Linked DNA regions of Stegostoma tigrinum. The protein of the gene in region 2 purifies or fractionates together with the protein of the main gene of each other region. This does not show direct contact. Links are inferred from orthologs where the notes say so. Each region holds a gene or a part of one and is shown on either strand. Other genes may lie near its edges.

Region 1 (7,356 bases), on a different chromosome or scaffold from region 2:
GACCACAATGACAATCTACATCATCTGTGTAGCCTGTTCAATTTAACTATTTTAAGGATTCATTAGTAATATTATTACACAATAAACGGAAGCAAATCCAAAATATGCAAACATTTCACCAAAAAACTGGGAACACTTCTTAATCTGATTATGCAAGTACATGATCAGCAGCCCAAGACAACAGCACTGAAATGTCAGATCATCAAATCTTCCTTGAAGGCAAGTAGCACTCTTATCAACAATGCATTTTTAGTAATAAACAGTTTCCTCAAAAGTTTAGGGGTGAGCTATAACCTTAACTGTGTCACCATGAGGAAAGCACATCATAACACTCAATACCTGCCAGACTGACATCTCACTTCAGATTTTACAGATTCTCTCAAAATATTGAGAATCAGTGTCACCACTCCACCAAACATTTGTCGAAAATGTATGTAATAAAAATAAGCATTAAAATATTTTGTATTGTGACAGTGATAGGATATAGCTCCAACAGAAATGAAGACCTACTCCATGAATTTGCAAAAAGCAGCCTTAGGCCAGGATAGTTGTGGGTGTGGAGGGGGAAGATGATCTACAGAGAAACAAACAAAGTGGCCAAAAAATGGAACAGCAAAATGATCTACAACTAGCGGAGACAAGGTTCCCTTCTTGAAGCATTTGGACAAGTTTAAGAAAAAAAAAGACGATTTTGTTTTATGAAACCAAAGCGCTCAGCTTTTCATCCTGCAGCTTTGTGGAAAGTACAGTATCAGGAGGATAGGGAGAGGGAGAGAGAGCGAGAGCACGCGCGCGAGAGAGAGAGAGAGAAAAAGAGAGAGAGAGAGAGAAAGACCACACATGACAGCGCGAAGGTGGCACAGGGAAGAAAAGGGAATGCGGTGACCTGAGGGGGGAAATCGAGGTGGGCAACAAGAATTGAGGGGAGAGGATCAGGGTGATGGATGGGGTTCTTGGTTACAGGCTGGTTGAGTGTCAGGGGTGGTGTTGATTAGAGCCTGCGTGAGGGTTGGGTAGGTGATAGAGTCTAGTACAGGGGTGAAGATAGGGGGGTGGTGTGGATTGTTGGTTCAGCAGATGGGGTTGGGATGAAACAGAGAGGTCGGTTGAAGGAGTGGGGTAGTTTGATGGAGTGAGGGCGGCCTCACAAGGCGAAGGGGAACCGGGAGGATTTGGTTGAAGGCGCGAAGGGGAACGGTGGGGGGGGGACACGGGGACTGGTTGAGGGGGTGGAGGGGGAACATGGGGACTGGTTGAGGGGCTGGAGGGGGTGAAGGGGGGGGGGCGCCTGGTGGGGGGGGGGGGGCGCCTGGTGGAGGGGGGGGGCCTGGTGGAGGAGGTGGAGGGGGGGAGGGGGGCCGCCTGGTGGAGGGGCTGAAGGGGGGGGGCGCCTGGTGGAGGTGCTGAAGTGGGGGAGGCGCCTGGTGGAGGGGGTGAAGGGGGGGGCGCGCCTGGTGGAGGGGGTGAAGGGGGGGGCGCGCCTGGTGGAGGGGGTGAAGGGGGGGGCGCGCCTGGTGGAGGGGGTGAAGGGGGGGGCGCGCCTGGTGGAGGGGGTGAAGGGGGGGGCGCGCCTGGTGGAGGGGGTGAAGGGGGGGCGCGCCTGGTGGAGGGGGTGAAGGGGGTGAAGGGGGGGGCGCCTGGTGGAGGGGGGGCGCCTGGTGGAGGGGGTGAAGGGGGGGGGCGCCTGGTGGAGGGAGTGAAGGGGGGGGGCGCCTGGTTGAGGGGGTGAAGGGGGGGGCGCCTGGTGGAGGGGGGGTGCCTGGTGGAGGGGGGTGAAGGGGGGGGGCGCCTGGTGGAGGGGGTGAAGGGGGGGGCGCCTGGTGGAGGTGGGGGGCGGGGGCGAGGGGGGGCGCCTGGTGGAGGGGGGGGCGTCTGGTGGAGGGGGGGGGGCGGAGGGGGGGGGGGCGAAGGGGGGCACCTGGTGGAGGGGGGGGGCGTCTGGTGGAGGGGGGGGGCGAAGGGGGGGCGCCTGGTTGGAGGGGGGGCACCTGGTGGAGGGGGAGAAGGGGGGGGCGCCTGGTGGAGGGGGAGAAGGGGGGAGCGCCTGGTGGAGGGGGAGAAGGTGGGAGCGCCTGGTGGAGGGGGAGAAGGTGGGAGCGCCTGGTGGAGGGGGAGAAGGTGGGAGCGCCTGGTGGAGGGGGAGAAGGGGGGAGGGGGAGAAGGGGGGAGGGGGAGAAGGGGGGAGGGGGAGAAGGGGGGAGGGGGAGAAGGGGGGAGCGCCTGGTGGAGGGGGAGAAGGGGGGAGCGCCTGGTGGAGGGGGAGAAGGGGGGAGCGTCTGGTGGACGGGGTGAAGGGGGGGCGTCTGGTGGACGGGGTGAAGGGGGGGCGTCTGGTGGACGGGGTGAAGGGGGGGCGTCTGGTGGAAGGGGGGGGTGAAGGGGAAAGGGGGGGTCTGGTGGAGGGTGTGAAGGGGAAAGCAGGGGTCTGGTGGAGGCGGTGAAGGTGGGGTTCTGGGTAAACCTGGCCCCCGCGTCCCCTACCTGAGGTAGGGCGGTGTTGAGCTGCCTCTGAAGCGAGTCCCTCTCATGGAAGGCCTCCTGCATCTTGGCCTGACACAGGGCCAGTGCCTCCTGGCTCTCCCGGAGGCTCTCCAGCAGCTTGTCCCGCTCATCCAGCATGTTCACCATCAGCTGCTCGAAGTTGGCCTCGGTGTCGGCGCCGCACTGCGAGCCCCGGGGGCTCAGCGTGTCCTCGCTGATGGTCGGCATCACCTCGCACATCATGGTGGGCCGGTGCTGGATATGAAGCCGGGGGCCGAGGGGAGGCCTACTCTCCCCAGGCCAAGGGGAACACTGACCCCGACTCAGGGAACAACAGCGGCCTGAGAGCTGAGGCAGGCCGGGGCCCAGGCTCCACACAGGATCCTCGGTAGTCGGTAAATGTACACACGGTCCCGGATCTCACACACACCGGCACAGCCTGCCGTGTCCCTCTGCTATCCCTGTCCCGAGGCCCGGCTTCCTCACATCTCCCGCTTCCAACCGGCACGGCGTCCGCGACCCCGACAAAATGTCCGCGCACTCTCCCGCGACCTGCAGCGCGCACGCGCGCGCACCCACCGTGCGCCGCCACCTCGCGCATGCCGTGCCCCGCCCCTCCTCGTCCCTGGCTCCGCCCACGTACCCAGCCGTTGCTGCAGGCCCCACCCACCTCTTGGCCCCACCCATCCCCCCTTGGCTCCGCCCCGGGAGATTCCTCCTCTGTCAGAAGCGAAGAGGCTGTTCAGCCCATCCTGTCGCCAGCAGTTCAATGAGCCCCGTGAGATCATTGCCAATCTCCGGCATTTTCACCATTTCCTTGCACTTTGTTTCTATTTAAGTAATCATTTGGTCACCAAATAAATAACGTTGCCGAGATAGTAGGAACTGCAGATCTGGAGGGAGGAGGGTTACTCCTTCAAGAAGTTGCCAATGTCCCTTAGAGTTGCTCTCAGATCACAGAGAGAGCTGAATTACGGTGGTTTAACCTTAGGGTCTCAGTGCCTCAGATGAGGGGCAAGGGTGAGAAGGAGTGTTTTCATGCTCTTCATTAGTGACAATCACTCACAAAAGAGGATGATTGTCCTGAGATAGTAGGAACTACTGATGCTGGAGAATCTGAGATAACAAGGTGTGGAGCTGGATGAACACAGCAGGCCAAGGAGCATCAGAGGAGCAGGGAAGCTGACGTTTCGGGTCCAGGCCCTTCTTCAGAAATAGGGGCAGGGAAGGGGATTTTGAAATAAATAGGGAGAGAGGGGGAGGCAGATAGAAGATGGATAAAGGAGCAGATAGGTGGAGAGGAGACAGACAGGTCAAAGAGGCAGGTATGGAGCCAGTGAAGGTGAGTGTAGCTGGGGCATTAGGGAGGGAATAAGTCAGTCCAGGGAGGTGATGTTCCTGCAATCTTCAGATTATCGTGAGGTGAGTTGGCTCGCCGAGTTGGGCTCTTGTTTAGAAACCAGCTCACCAAGACAACCAACCTCAACACCCACAACCCGAGGTACAAATCTACTCCAAAACCTTCAGATGATTGTCCACTTAGAAAATTCTGTGTCTCTGATCATGAGTTCTGTGGACCCTTTTGGGACTAATGACCCTTATATGCCTTGGCATCACAACTGCATATCTGAATACTTCTTTAATATTACAGGGGTTTCTACATCTACCACTCCTACAGGAATAAGATCCAGCTTCCTGCCACCATCTTAGTGAAAAAGTTTCTTTCTCACGTATCCTCTAAACCTTCTGCCCCTTACCTCAAATCTACACTCTGTGGTCAATGGCCCCCCCCATCAAGAGGTAACATTTCTTCCTGGTAACCTATCTATGCCCCTTATAAATTTATTCATCTCAATCATGTTCCTGCTCAATATTTTTTCTGCTCAAAGGAAAACCACCTCCATTTGTTCAATCTCTCTTGAAAATTGAAATTGTCCAGCCCATGTAACACCCTGGGAAATCTCCTCTACACACGCTTCAATGCTAACACATCCCTCCTCCACGTCAGTTTCTTCTGAACAAAATACAGTAGAGGAACTGAACCCAGGCTGCTGGCACCTACATGGACTATGGCAAGCAAACATTTAATGTGATCCCAAATGCCTCAACAGAATCTGTTTCCGTGACATTTCCAGACATTTGCTAAGTGAAAAAGATATTTCTCACCTTGCATTTGCTTAGTTTGCAAAACACTTTAAAACTGTGCTCTCTGGTTCTCAATCTGTTTATGTGTGGGAACATTTTCTCCTGACTTATTCTGACCGGATGATGTTAAAAATTTCCCATGAAATCTCCCCTCAGCTTTCTCCCTTTCCACGGAAATTAGTCCGAACTTCTCCATTTAACCTCATCGCTGACACCATCCTTGGAAAACTCTTCTGTGCTTTCTCAAATGTGCTCACATCCTTCCTGTTGGTGGAGTTGTGGACAGCATGGGGGGCTGTTGTAGGTTGCAATGGGACATCGACAGGATACAGAGCTGGGCAAAGAAGTGGCAGATAGAATCCAACCAGAAAAGGGTGAAGTGATTCATTTTGGAAGGTTGAATTTGAATGCAGAATACAGGGTAAATGGCAGGATTCTCATCAGTGTGGAGGAACAGAGGGATTTTGGGGTCCATGTCCATAGATCCCTTAAAGTTGCGACCCAAGGATTGAAAAGAAGGTGTATGGTGTATAGGCTTTCGCTGGCAGGGGAATTGACTTTAAGAGCCATGTGGATATGCTGCAGCTCTATAAAACTCAGCTTGGACCACAGTTGGAATATTGTGTTCAATTCTGGTCACCTCATTGCAGGAAGAATGTGGAAGCTTTAGAGAGGGTGCAGAGGAGATTTACCAGGATGCTGCCTGGATGGGAGGGGGCAGGTCTTATGAGGAAAGGTTGAGGGAGCTAGGGCTTTGATCATTAGAGTGAAGAAGGTCAAGAGTTTACTTGATAGAGGCATACAAGATGATGAGAGACATAGATAGGGTGTATAGTCAGGGACTTTTTCCCAGGGCGGAAATAACTTCTATGAGGGGGCATAATTTTAAGGTGATTGGAGGAAGGTACAGGGGAGATGTCAGAGGTAGGTTCTTCACACAGAGAGTGGTGGGCGTGTGGAATGTGCTGCTGGTAGTGGTAGTGGAATCAGACACTTTTGAGACTTTTCAGCAACTCTTGAATAGGCGCAAGGAGGATAGTAAAATGTAGGGATGCAGGGTAGTTTGATCCTTGTAGGATAATAGGTCAGCACAACATCGTGGGCCAAAGAGTCTGTACTGTGCTGCACTGTTCTATGTTCTGTGTTCTGTAGTTTGGAACCCAGATCTATACACAATATTCCAGCTGAGGTCTAAGCAGTGTTTCTTACAGGTTCATTATAACTTCCTTACCCTTGTTCTCTACACCTGTATTAATGAAGCCTGGAATATTGCATTCTTTATTAATCCCTGTCTAAATGAGTTAACAAATGCATGACAGATGCCTTATAATGTGGGCAAGTGAGAGGTTATGCACTTTGGGAACAAATACAAGAAGGCAGATTATTGTCTGAATGGCTATTATATTGAGAGAATGGAATTGAGACCTGGCCTGACTTGTACACCAGTCACTGAAGGTGAGTAAAAATCAGGAATAAAATCAGAAGTTGCCGGAAAAGCTCAGCAGGCCTGGCAGCGTCTGTGAAGGAAAAAAATCAGAGTTAATGCTTCAGGCATGCAAGTGCAGCAGGAGGTGAAGAAGGCAAATGTTATGTTGGCCTTCATAGCGAGAGGATTCGAGTACTGGAGCACGGCTGTCTTGCTGCAATTATACAGAACCTTGGTGATTTGATTTGATTTATTATTGTCATGTGTACCTAGATACAGTGAGAAGTTTAGCGTGCACACCAGCAGATCATGACATACAAAGACTGAGGAATATAATGTTTCAGCTGTAGAGAAAGTGCACAAAGAACATTAAATTTGAAACTTGAGAGGCCCATTCAGAAGTCTACTAACAGGGAGAAGAAATTGTTCGTGAATCTGTCAGTAAATGTGTTTAAGTTTTTGTATTTTCTGACCAATGAAGGAGGTTGGAAGAGATTATAACCAAGGTGGGAGGGGTCTTTGATTATGTTGGCTGCTGTTCCGAGGCAGGGAGAAATATAGATGGAGCCAATGGATGGCGAGTGGAATATTGTGTGCAGTTTTGATCTCCTTATCTGAGGAAGAACATTCTTGACATAGAGGAAGTACAGCAAAGGATTACCAGATTAATTCAGAGATAACACAGTGTGGAGATGGAGGAACACAGCAGGCCAGGCAGCATCAGAGGAGCAGGAAAGGAGCCGTCAGTTTTCCTGTTCCTCTGGTGCTGCCTGGCCTGCTGTGTTCCTCCAGCTCCACACTGTGTTATCTCTGACTCCAGCATTGGCAATTCTTCCTATCTCGCCAGATTAATTCTGGTAGAATTCCAAATGTTGGGACTGATATATGAGGAACTGAATAGATTACATTTGCTGGAATTCAGAAGAATGAAGGTGGATCTCAGCGAAGGCTTAAAATTCTAACAAGGCTATAAAGGTTAGATGCTGGGACAATGTTACCAATAACCAGGAAGTCCAGAATCAGGGATTTCAATCTGGGGATGTGGGGTAAACCATTTAGCACTCAGGTGAGGAGACATTTCTTCATCCAGAGAGCGGTGAGTCTGTGGACTTCATGGCCACAGAAAGCAGTGGAGGCAAACTTTGTATGATTTCAGGGAAGGATAGAACTTGGGGCTGAAGGCATAAAATGATGTATGGGGGAAAGCAGAAACAGGTTATTGAGTTGGATAATCAGCATGATCATCATGAATGACAGATCAGGTTTGATGGGCCAAAGGGCCTACTCCTGCTCCTATTTTCTAT
Region 2 (7,860 bases):
TCTTTAGGACATAAAGTATTCCAGAATTGAGAGACATTCTAATGTTTTCCTCATGAGCAAAACTGTTCTTGGGACCCTTTTGTTTTTAAAACCGTGACTGAAACAGCAAATTATGATTTAATCTAATTAAGGTAATAGTGACGAAGGATGCTGTAGGTTGCTGAGAGACATAGATAAGCTGCAGAGCTGGGCTGAGAGGTGGCAAATGGAGTTTAATGCAGACAAGTGTGAGGTGATGCACTTTGGTAGGAGTAACTGGAGGGCAAAGTACTGGGCTAATGGTAAGATTCTTGGTAGTGTAGATGAGCAGAGAGATCTCGGTGTCCATGTACACAGATCCTTGAAAGTTGCCACCCAGGTTGACAGGGCTGTTAAGAAGGCATACAGTGTTTTAGTTTTTATTCATAGAGGGATCGAGTTCCAGAACCAAGCGGTCATGCTGCAGCTGTACAAAACTCTGGTGTGGCCACACTTGGAGTATTGCGTACAGTTCTGGTCACCGCATTATAAAAAGGACGTGGAAGCTTTGGAAAGGGTGCAGAGGAGATTTACTAGGATGTTGCCTGGTATGGTGGGAAGGTCTTATGAGGAAAAGCTGAGGGACTGGAGGCTTTTTTCGTTAGAGAGAAGAAGGTTGAGAGGTGACTTAATTGAAACATATAAAATAATCAGAGGGTTAGATAGGGTGGATAGGGAGAGCCTTTTTCCTAGGATAGTGACGGCGAGCACGAGGGGGCATAGCTTTAAATTGAGGTGTGAAAGATATAGGACAGATGTCAGAAATAGTTTCTTTACTCAGAGTGGTAAGGGAATGGAACACCTTGCCTGCAATGGTAGCAGATTTGCCAACTTTAAGTACATTTAAGTCATCATTGGACAAGCATATGGACGTTCATGGAATAGTGTAGGTTAGATGGGCTTCAGATCGGTATGACAGGTCGGCACAACATCGAGGGCCAAAGGGCCTGTACTGTGCTGTGCTGTTAGGTTCTATGTTCTATGTAGGTATCAGTCTAAAGTGATGGGTTGTTAGTCTGTAAATTCTCTTCAAAGAGTGGAGTGAAATTATTCAAGATTAAGTTAGATTTTCGATAAACAAGGGAGTTAACAGTTTCACAGTGCAGGCAGGGAGATAGAATGAAGAAAGACTTTTTGCATGCCAAAGCAGGATGAAGGGCTGAATGGCCTAGTCCTGCTTTATGTCTGCTGTCATTTTACAGCAAAATACTTTATGGCATGGTTAAAACTGACCATGGGAGAGGCTGCGACAGTGTGGCAAAGAAGCAAGAGATGCTGCTGTGTGGAATAATAAAGAGATTGAGGCATACTGAGACTGTGTCTAAATACAGGCAGACCCCAGTTGCAAAAAAGTTCCACGTGGAGTCCACTCAGTTTGATTTGTATGCATGTCAGAACGCAATGCAGGAAATATAAAACTAGCCACTCATAAGTACAGGAAAGATTCCTACATCTGTCAGATCTTTAAAAATTACACCTTTTTTGACTGCATTTGATAGAATATTCATAAATTCAAGGCCTGTTGCACTTGTATTGGGAGAAGGGGGATGAAAAAGTCACAAGAGTGGTAGAGAACTCTTGACATTACACAGTCTTAGTAGAGCACCTTATTAGAGGCCATCATGCCTCAGACAAGCAAAGAGACTGAGAACGAGAGTCCATCATAACCTCAGGTGACATGAAAATTGGACGTAGCACTGATGTCACACTTTGCCACAATCCAGTCTGCCAACTGAGCTAACCGACCTCATGACAAAGCAGAAGAAACATATTCAAACCATCATGTCTCCGCCTCCATTCAATCAGATCAGGTTTATGTGAATCATTGTCTCCACTTTCCCACCTTTTACTCATAAATTAAAAATCTGTCTCAGCATTGAATAAACCTAACTCAGTCTCAATAGGTCTTTGTGGTAAAGAATGCCAAGATTCTTACTTAACTGCATAGAAGAAATTCCTCCTCAACCCACTTTAAATGTGTGACGATTTCTTTTAAGATCAATCCCTTTAACCCTACCACAAGGGGAAACAACCTTTCGACATCTACTCTGTCAAGTCTTCCAAGAATCTTTTATGCTTCAAAACTATTGCCTCCCATTTTTCTAAATTCCAACCAGTACAGGCCCAAACCTACTGAAGCGCTCCTACTAAGTCAATGCCTCTGTATCAGGTAAATGATGAGCGTTTAAAACGCCATGGTATGTATACAAGACGACAGGAAAGGTGCTGGAGATGCTTGGCAAACAGTGCGGGCACATCGAGCTGAAGGGGCTTTATCCAGGCTGTAAGATTCAATCACATGTCAAAGTCTACAACTTCCTGCAAGAAGAGTCAGGGCAGCTGGAACACATGAAAAAGGAGGAGGATGGGGTGGAGCTGGAATGGGGCAAGTAAGTCCGGGGACTGGGATGAAAGGAGGGAGGGGCGGATATGGATGAAGAGAGAGTTGGGGGGGGGAAAGAGGCGATGAAGAGGGCTTTGAGGGCATATAAAGCTCCACCTTGGACCCGCCCCCTGAGCGGAAGTGGCACCGGACCGGAAGTTCCGCCCGGTCAGGCGGGTGGGGCGGAGCCGAGCCGAGCCGGGGAGAGCGGCCGAGCCACTGGTCTCACTATTTGGCAGCGGCGGAAAGGCCGACTCTGTCGCTTAAACCCAGGCGGGGATTCTGTCTGAAATCGCATCGAGAATAAAACTGTTGGCCTTGGCGCTCCCCACATACCTTCTCGCAGAGGGTCCGCACTTGGTTCTCGTTGAGTTGCTTGCACTCGTTCAGCTGCTCGATCCAATCGTCCAGCTCCTTGGTGAACGCCTTATTATCCATAACTATCGGGAACGGTTTTTTTTTTAAAAATTATCAGACAGGGTGTTGAGGTGAAAAGGAAAATTTAAATAAAAAGTCTTGGGTGGGAGGGGGAATCGGGAGGTTAAAATTTTGATCATAAATAAGTTACATGGGTTCGGAACCCCTGAGAAGCTCGGCGCCGTCCGTCACTGTGAGAGTGAGAGGGAGAAAAAGCGGCGCGCGTGTCCGCAAAATCGCGCGCGCACGCACGCACCGACGTAATTCACGTTCCCGCGGCGCGTGACTGAGGAGGCGAAGCGCGCCCGCGAGGTCGGGCGGCGGTTGGAAGCCCGTTTGAATGGGTGCGCGAGCGAAGACAGTTGCCTTTATTTGTCACGCCCCTTATGTACCACGTGGTGTGGCACGTTCGGCCCCTTGCAGACAGACAATAGACAATAGGTGCTGTAGTAGGCCATTCGGCCCTATCGAGCCAGCACCACCATTCATTATGATTATGGCCGATCATCCACAATCAGTATCCTGGTCCTGCCTTATCCCAGTAACCCTTGATTCCACTATCTTTAAGAGCTCTATCCATCTCCTTCTTGAAAGTGTCCAGAGAGTTGGCCTCCACTGCCTTCTGGGCACAGCATTCCATATATCCACCACGCTCTGAGTGAAGAAGTTTTTCCTCAACTCAGTTCTAAATGGCCTACCCCTTATTTTTAAACTGTGTCCTCTCGTTCTGGACTCACCCATCAGCGGAAACATGCTTCCTGCCTCCACAGTGTCCAATCCCTTAATAACCTTATATGTCTCAATCAGATCCCCCCTCATCCTTCTAAACTCAAGTGTGTACAAGCCCAGTCGCTCCAATCTTGCAACATACAATAGTCCCGCCATTCTGGGAATTGACCTCGTGAACCTACACTGCACTCCCTCAATAGCAAGAATATCCTTAAACTTGGAGACCAAAACTGCACACAATACTCCAGGTGCGGTCTCACCAGGGCCCTGTACAGCTGCAGAAGGACCTCTTTGCTCCTATACTCAATTCCTCTTGTTATGAAGGCCAGCATGCCATTAGCTTTCTTCACTGCCTGCTGTACCTGCATGCTTGCTTTCGCTGACTGATGTACAAGAACACCCAGATCTCGTTGTGCTTCCCCTTTACCTAACTTGACTCCATTGAGATAGTAATCTGCCTTCCTGTTCTTGCCACCAAAGTGGATAACCACACATTTATCCACATTAAACTGCATCTGCCATGCATCCGTCCACTCACCTAGTCTGTCCAAGTCACCCTGTATTCTAATAACATCCTCCTCACATTTCACATTGCCACCCAGTTTTGTGTCATCAGCAAATTTGCTAATATTACTTTTAATGCCTTCGTCTATATCATTAATATATGTCGTAAACAGCTGCGGTCCCAGTACCGAACCTTGTGGTACCCCACTGGTCACTGCCTGCCATTCCAAAAGGGACCCGTTTATCACTACTCTTTGCTTCCTGTCAGCCATCCAATTTTCAATCCAACTCAGTATTTTGCCCCCAATACCATGTGCCCTAATTTTGTTCACCAATCTCCTATGTGGGATTTTATCAAAGGCTTTCTGAAAGTCCAGGTACACTACATCCACTGGTTCTCCCTTGTCCATCTTCATAGATACATCCTCAAAAAATTCCAGAAGATTAGTCAAGCACGATTTCCCCTTCGATGCCACGTGATGTACGGAAACACGGAGTCAGCCATTCATTGTAGGCATAGCTGGATGTCTAAGATAACAAAGTGTGGGGCTGGATGAACACAGCATCCTAGGAGCACAAAGGCTGACATTTCGGGCGTAGACACTTCATCAGAAAAGGGGGAGGGGGAGAGGGTTCTGAAATAAATAGGGAGTGGGGAGGTGGATCGAAGATGGATAAAGGAGAAAATAGGTGGAGAGGAGATAGACAAGTTGAGGCCAGATGCCAGCTCTCTGACACCTCCTCCTACCGCTCCCTGGATCATGACCCCACCCCTGAGCACCAAATCGTCATCTCCCAAACCATCCACAACCTCATCACCTCAGGTGACCTCCTATACATAGCCTCCAACTCATTGTACCCCAACCCCACACCGCTCGCTTCCGTCTCCTTCGCAAATTCCACAAACCCGCCTGCCCTGGTCGACCTATTGTCTCCGCCTGTACCTGCCGCACCAAACTCACCTCCACTTAAGTGGACTCCATTTTCTGCTCCTTGGCCCAGGAACTCCCTACCTACGTCCGTGACACCACCCACGCCCTCCACCTCCACCAGAACTTCCAATTCTCTGTTCCCCAACACCTCATTTTCACCATGGACGCCCAGTCCTTATACACCTGCATTCCCCATGCAGATGGCCTAAAGGCCCTCCGCTTCTTCCTGTCCCACAGGCTCAGCCAGTCCCTCTCCACCGAAACCCTCATCCGCTTCACCCTCAACAACTTCTCTGTTGATCCCTCCCACTTCCTACAGGCAAAAGCAGTGGCCATGGGTACCCATATGGGCACAAGCTGTGCCTGCCTCTTTGGAGGTTATGTGGAACAATCCCTCTTCTGCACCTACACTGGCCCCAAACCCCACCTCTTCCTCCATTGCATTGATGACTGTACTGGGCCGCCTCGTGCTCCCATGAGGAACTGAAACAGTTCATCCACTTCACCAGCACCTTCCATCCCAACCTCAAGTTCCCCTGGACCATCTCCAACACATCCCTCGCCTTCCTGGACCTGTCTGTCTCCATCTCCAGCAACTACCGAGAAACTGATACCCATTTCAAGCCCACCGACTCCCACAGCTACCTAGAATACACCTCCTCCCACCCACTTTCCTGCAAAAATTCCATCCCCTATTCCCAATTCCTTCGCCTCTGCTGCATCTGGTCCCAGGATGAGGCATTCCCCTCCCGTACATCTCAGATGTCCTTGTTCTTGAAGGACCACAACTTATCCCCCACAATGGTTGAGAACACCCTCGAACGTGTCTCCCACATTTCCTGCAGCTCATCCCTCACACCCTGCCCCCGCAATAACGCCAAAATAAAATCCCCTTCATCCTCGCATACCACCCCACCAGCCTCCTGATCCAACACATCATCCTCCAACACTTCCACCATCTGCAATCTGACCCCACCTCCAAAGACATTTTTCCATCCCCACCCTTGTCTGCTTTCCAGAGGGACCACTCTCTCTTTGACTCCCTTGGCCCTTCCACACTCCCCTCCCACCCCTCCACACCCAGCACATTCGCTGCAAAGGCAGAAAGTGCTACACCTGCCCCCACACCTTCTCCCTCAACCACATCCCAGGCCCCAAGATGGCTTTCCACATCAAGCAGATGTTCACTTACATATCTGCTAATGTGGTATACTGCATCCACTGTACCCGTTATGGCTTCCTCTACATCGGGGAAACCAAGCAGAGGTTTGGGGACCGCTTTGCAGAACACCTACGCTCGGTTCGCAATAAACAACTGCACCTCCCAGTCGCGAACCATTTCAACTCCACCTCCCATTCCTTAGACAACATGTCCATCCTGGGCCTCCTGCAGTGCCACAATGATGCCACCCAAAGGTTGCAGGAACAGCAACTCATATTCCGCTTGGGAACCCTGCAGCCCAATGGTATCAATGTGGATAGCACAAGTTTCAAAATCTCTCCTCCCCCTACTGTATCCCAAAACCAGTCCAGCTCATCCCCACCTCCCTAACCTGTTCTTCCTCTCACCTATCCCCTCCTCCCACCTCAAGCCGCACCTCCATCATCCGCCCCCTTGACCTATCAATCCTCCTGGGCTGGCCTATCCCCTCCCTACCTCCCCACCTGCACTCACCTGTAAATGGTCCATCCCCGCCCCTTCAACTTGTCTGTCTCCTCTCCACCTATCTTCTCCTCTATCCATCTTTGATCCACCTCCCCCTCTCTCCCTATTTATTTCAGAACCCTCTCCCCCTCCCCCTTTTCTGATGAAGGGTCTAGGCCCGAAACGTCAGCTTTTGTGCTCCTAAGATGCTGCTTGGCCTGCTGTGTTCATCCAGCTCCACACTTTGTTATCTTGGATTCTCCAGCATCTGCAGTTCCCATTATCTCTGATAGCTGAATGTCTAACTGAATGCTCTGTTCACGCTTTCTCCCCATACTCTTTGGTCCCTTTATCCCTGTCAATTGCATCTAACTCCTCTGTGAAAACAGTTGATGTTTTGGCCTCAACTGCTTTGTGTGGTAGTAAAGCCATTTAATCTCAGTTCTAAAAGGCTTATCTTGTACCCTTAGACTGTTGACACCCTTTGCTCCATTCACTATGTCCATCTGTACCCTGTGACACCCCTTTTAGACTATACGACATTGGAGTAGAAGTTATGCCATTTAGCCTATCGAGTTTGCTCCATCATTCCATCATGGCTGATAAGTTTCTCAACCCATTCTCCCCATAACCCTTGATCTCCTTGACAATCTCACCCGTCACATCCTCCTGTACCCTGTGACATCCCTTTGCACACCTATCATGTCCTTGTGTACGCTGTGACACCCCTTTGCACACCCATCGTACCCTTTTGTACACTGTGACACCCCTTTGCACATCTACACATCCTCCTGTACCCTGCGATATGCCTCTGGTCACCCATAACATCCTCCTGTAGCCTGTGATACCCCTATGCTTACCCACTATGCCATTCAGCACCACGTGATATCCCTTGATCCACCAACACACTTTTCAGCACCATGTGAATGGCCTTGCTTTGCACTCTAATAATTCTGTCGTCAGATTTTGCATATCTGAAAGGATAGATAAACTAGAATTGTCCTCCTTAGAGAAATCTACACAAAGAAGCAGGATAATGACTGTGCAGAAGGAAGCCATTTGGCCTATCATGTCAGCACCAGGTCATTAAATAAACAATCTTCTTCATCTTCACTACCTATTCCTGAATCTTCTTCATTTTCATATAACAGCCTATTTCCATTCTGAATGGCTTGTTTGAACCTGCCTCTTCCTCACTTTCAGGCACTGCAGGAGAAAATAGGCACATGCTA

What was found.
Region 1: the proteins of ppp2cb (region 2) and liprin-alpha-1-like purify together in Homo sapiens (affinity purification with mass spectrometry; 4 studies listed by BioGRID and IntAct, counting the BioPlex papers as one, with this or other methods). This does not show direct contact. The link is inferred for Stegostoma tigrinum from reciprocal best matches to the Homo sapiens genes PPP2CB and PPFIA1.

The regions. Positions count from the first base shown.
Region 1 is NC_081370.1:62,702,805-62,710,160, reverse strand, and holds the start of liprin-alpha-1-like, read right to left. Parts: upstream 3,029-7,356; 5' UTR 2,725-3,028; coding exon 2,482-2,724; intron 1-2,481. UniProt on the Homo sapiens protein: May regulate the disassembly of focal adhesions. May localize receptor-like tyrosine phosphatases type 2A at specific sites on the plasma membrane, possibly regulating their interaction with the extracellular environment and their association with substrates.
Region 2 is NC_081354.1:12,436,477-12,444,336, forward strand, and holds the start of ppp2cb (serine/threonine-protein phosphatase 2A catalytic subunit beta isoform), read right to left. Parts: upstream 3,047-7,860; 5' UTR 2,840-3,046; coding exon 2,738-2,839; intron 1-2,737.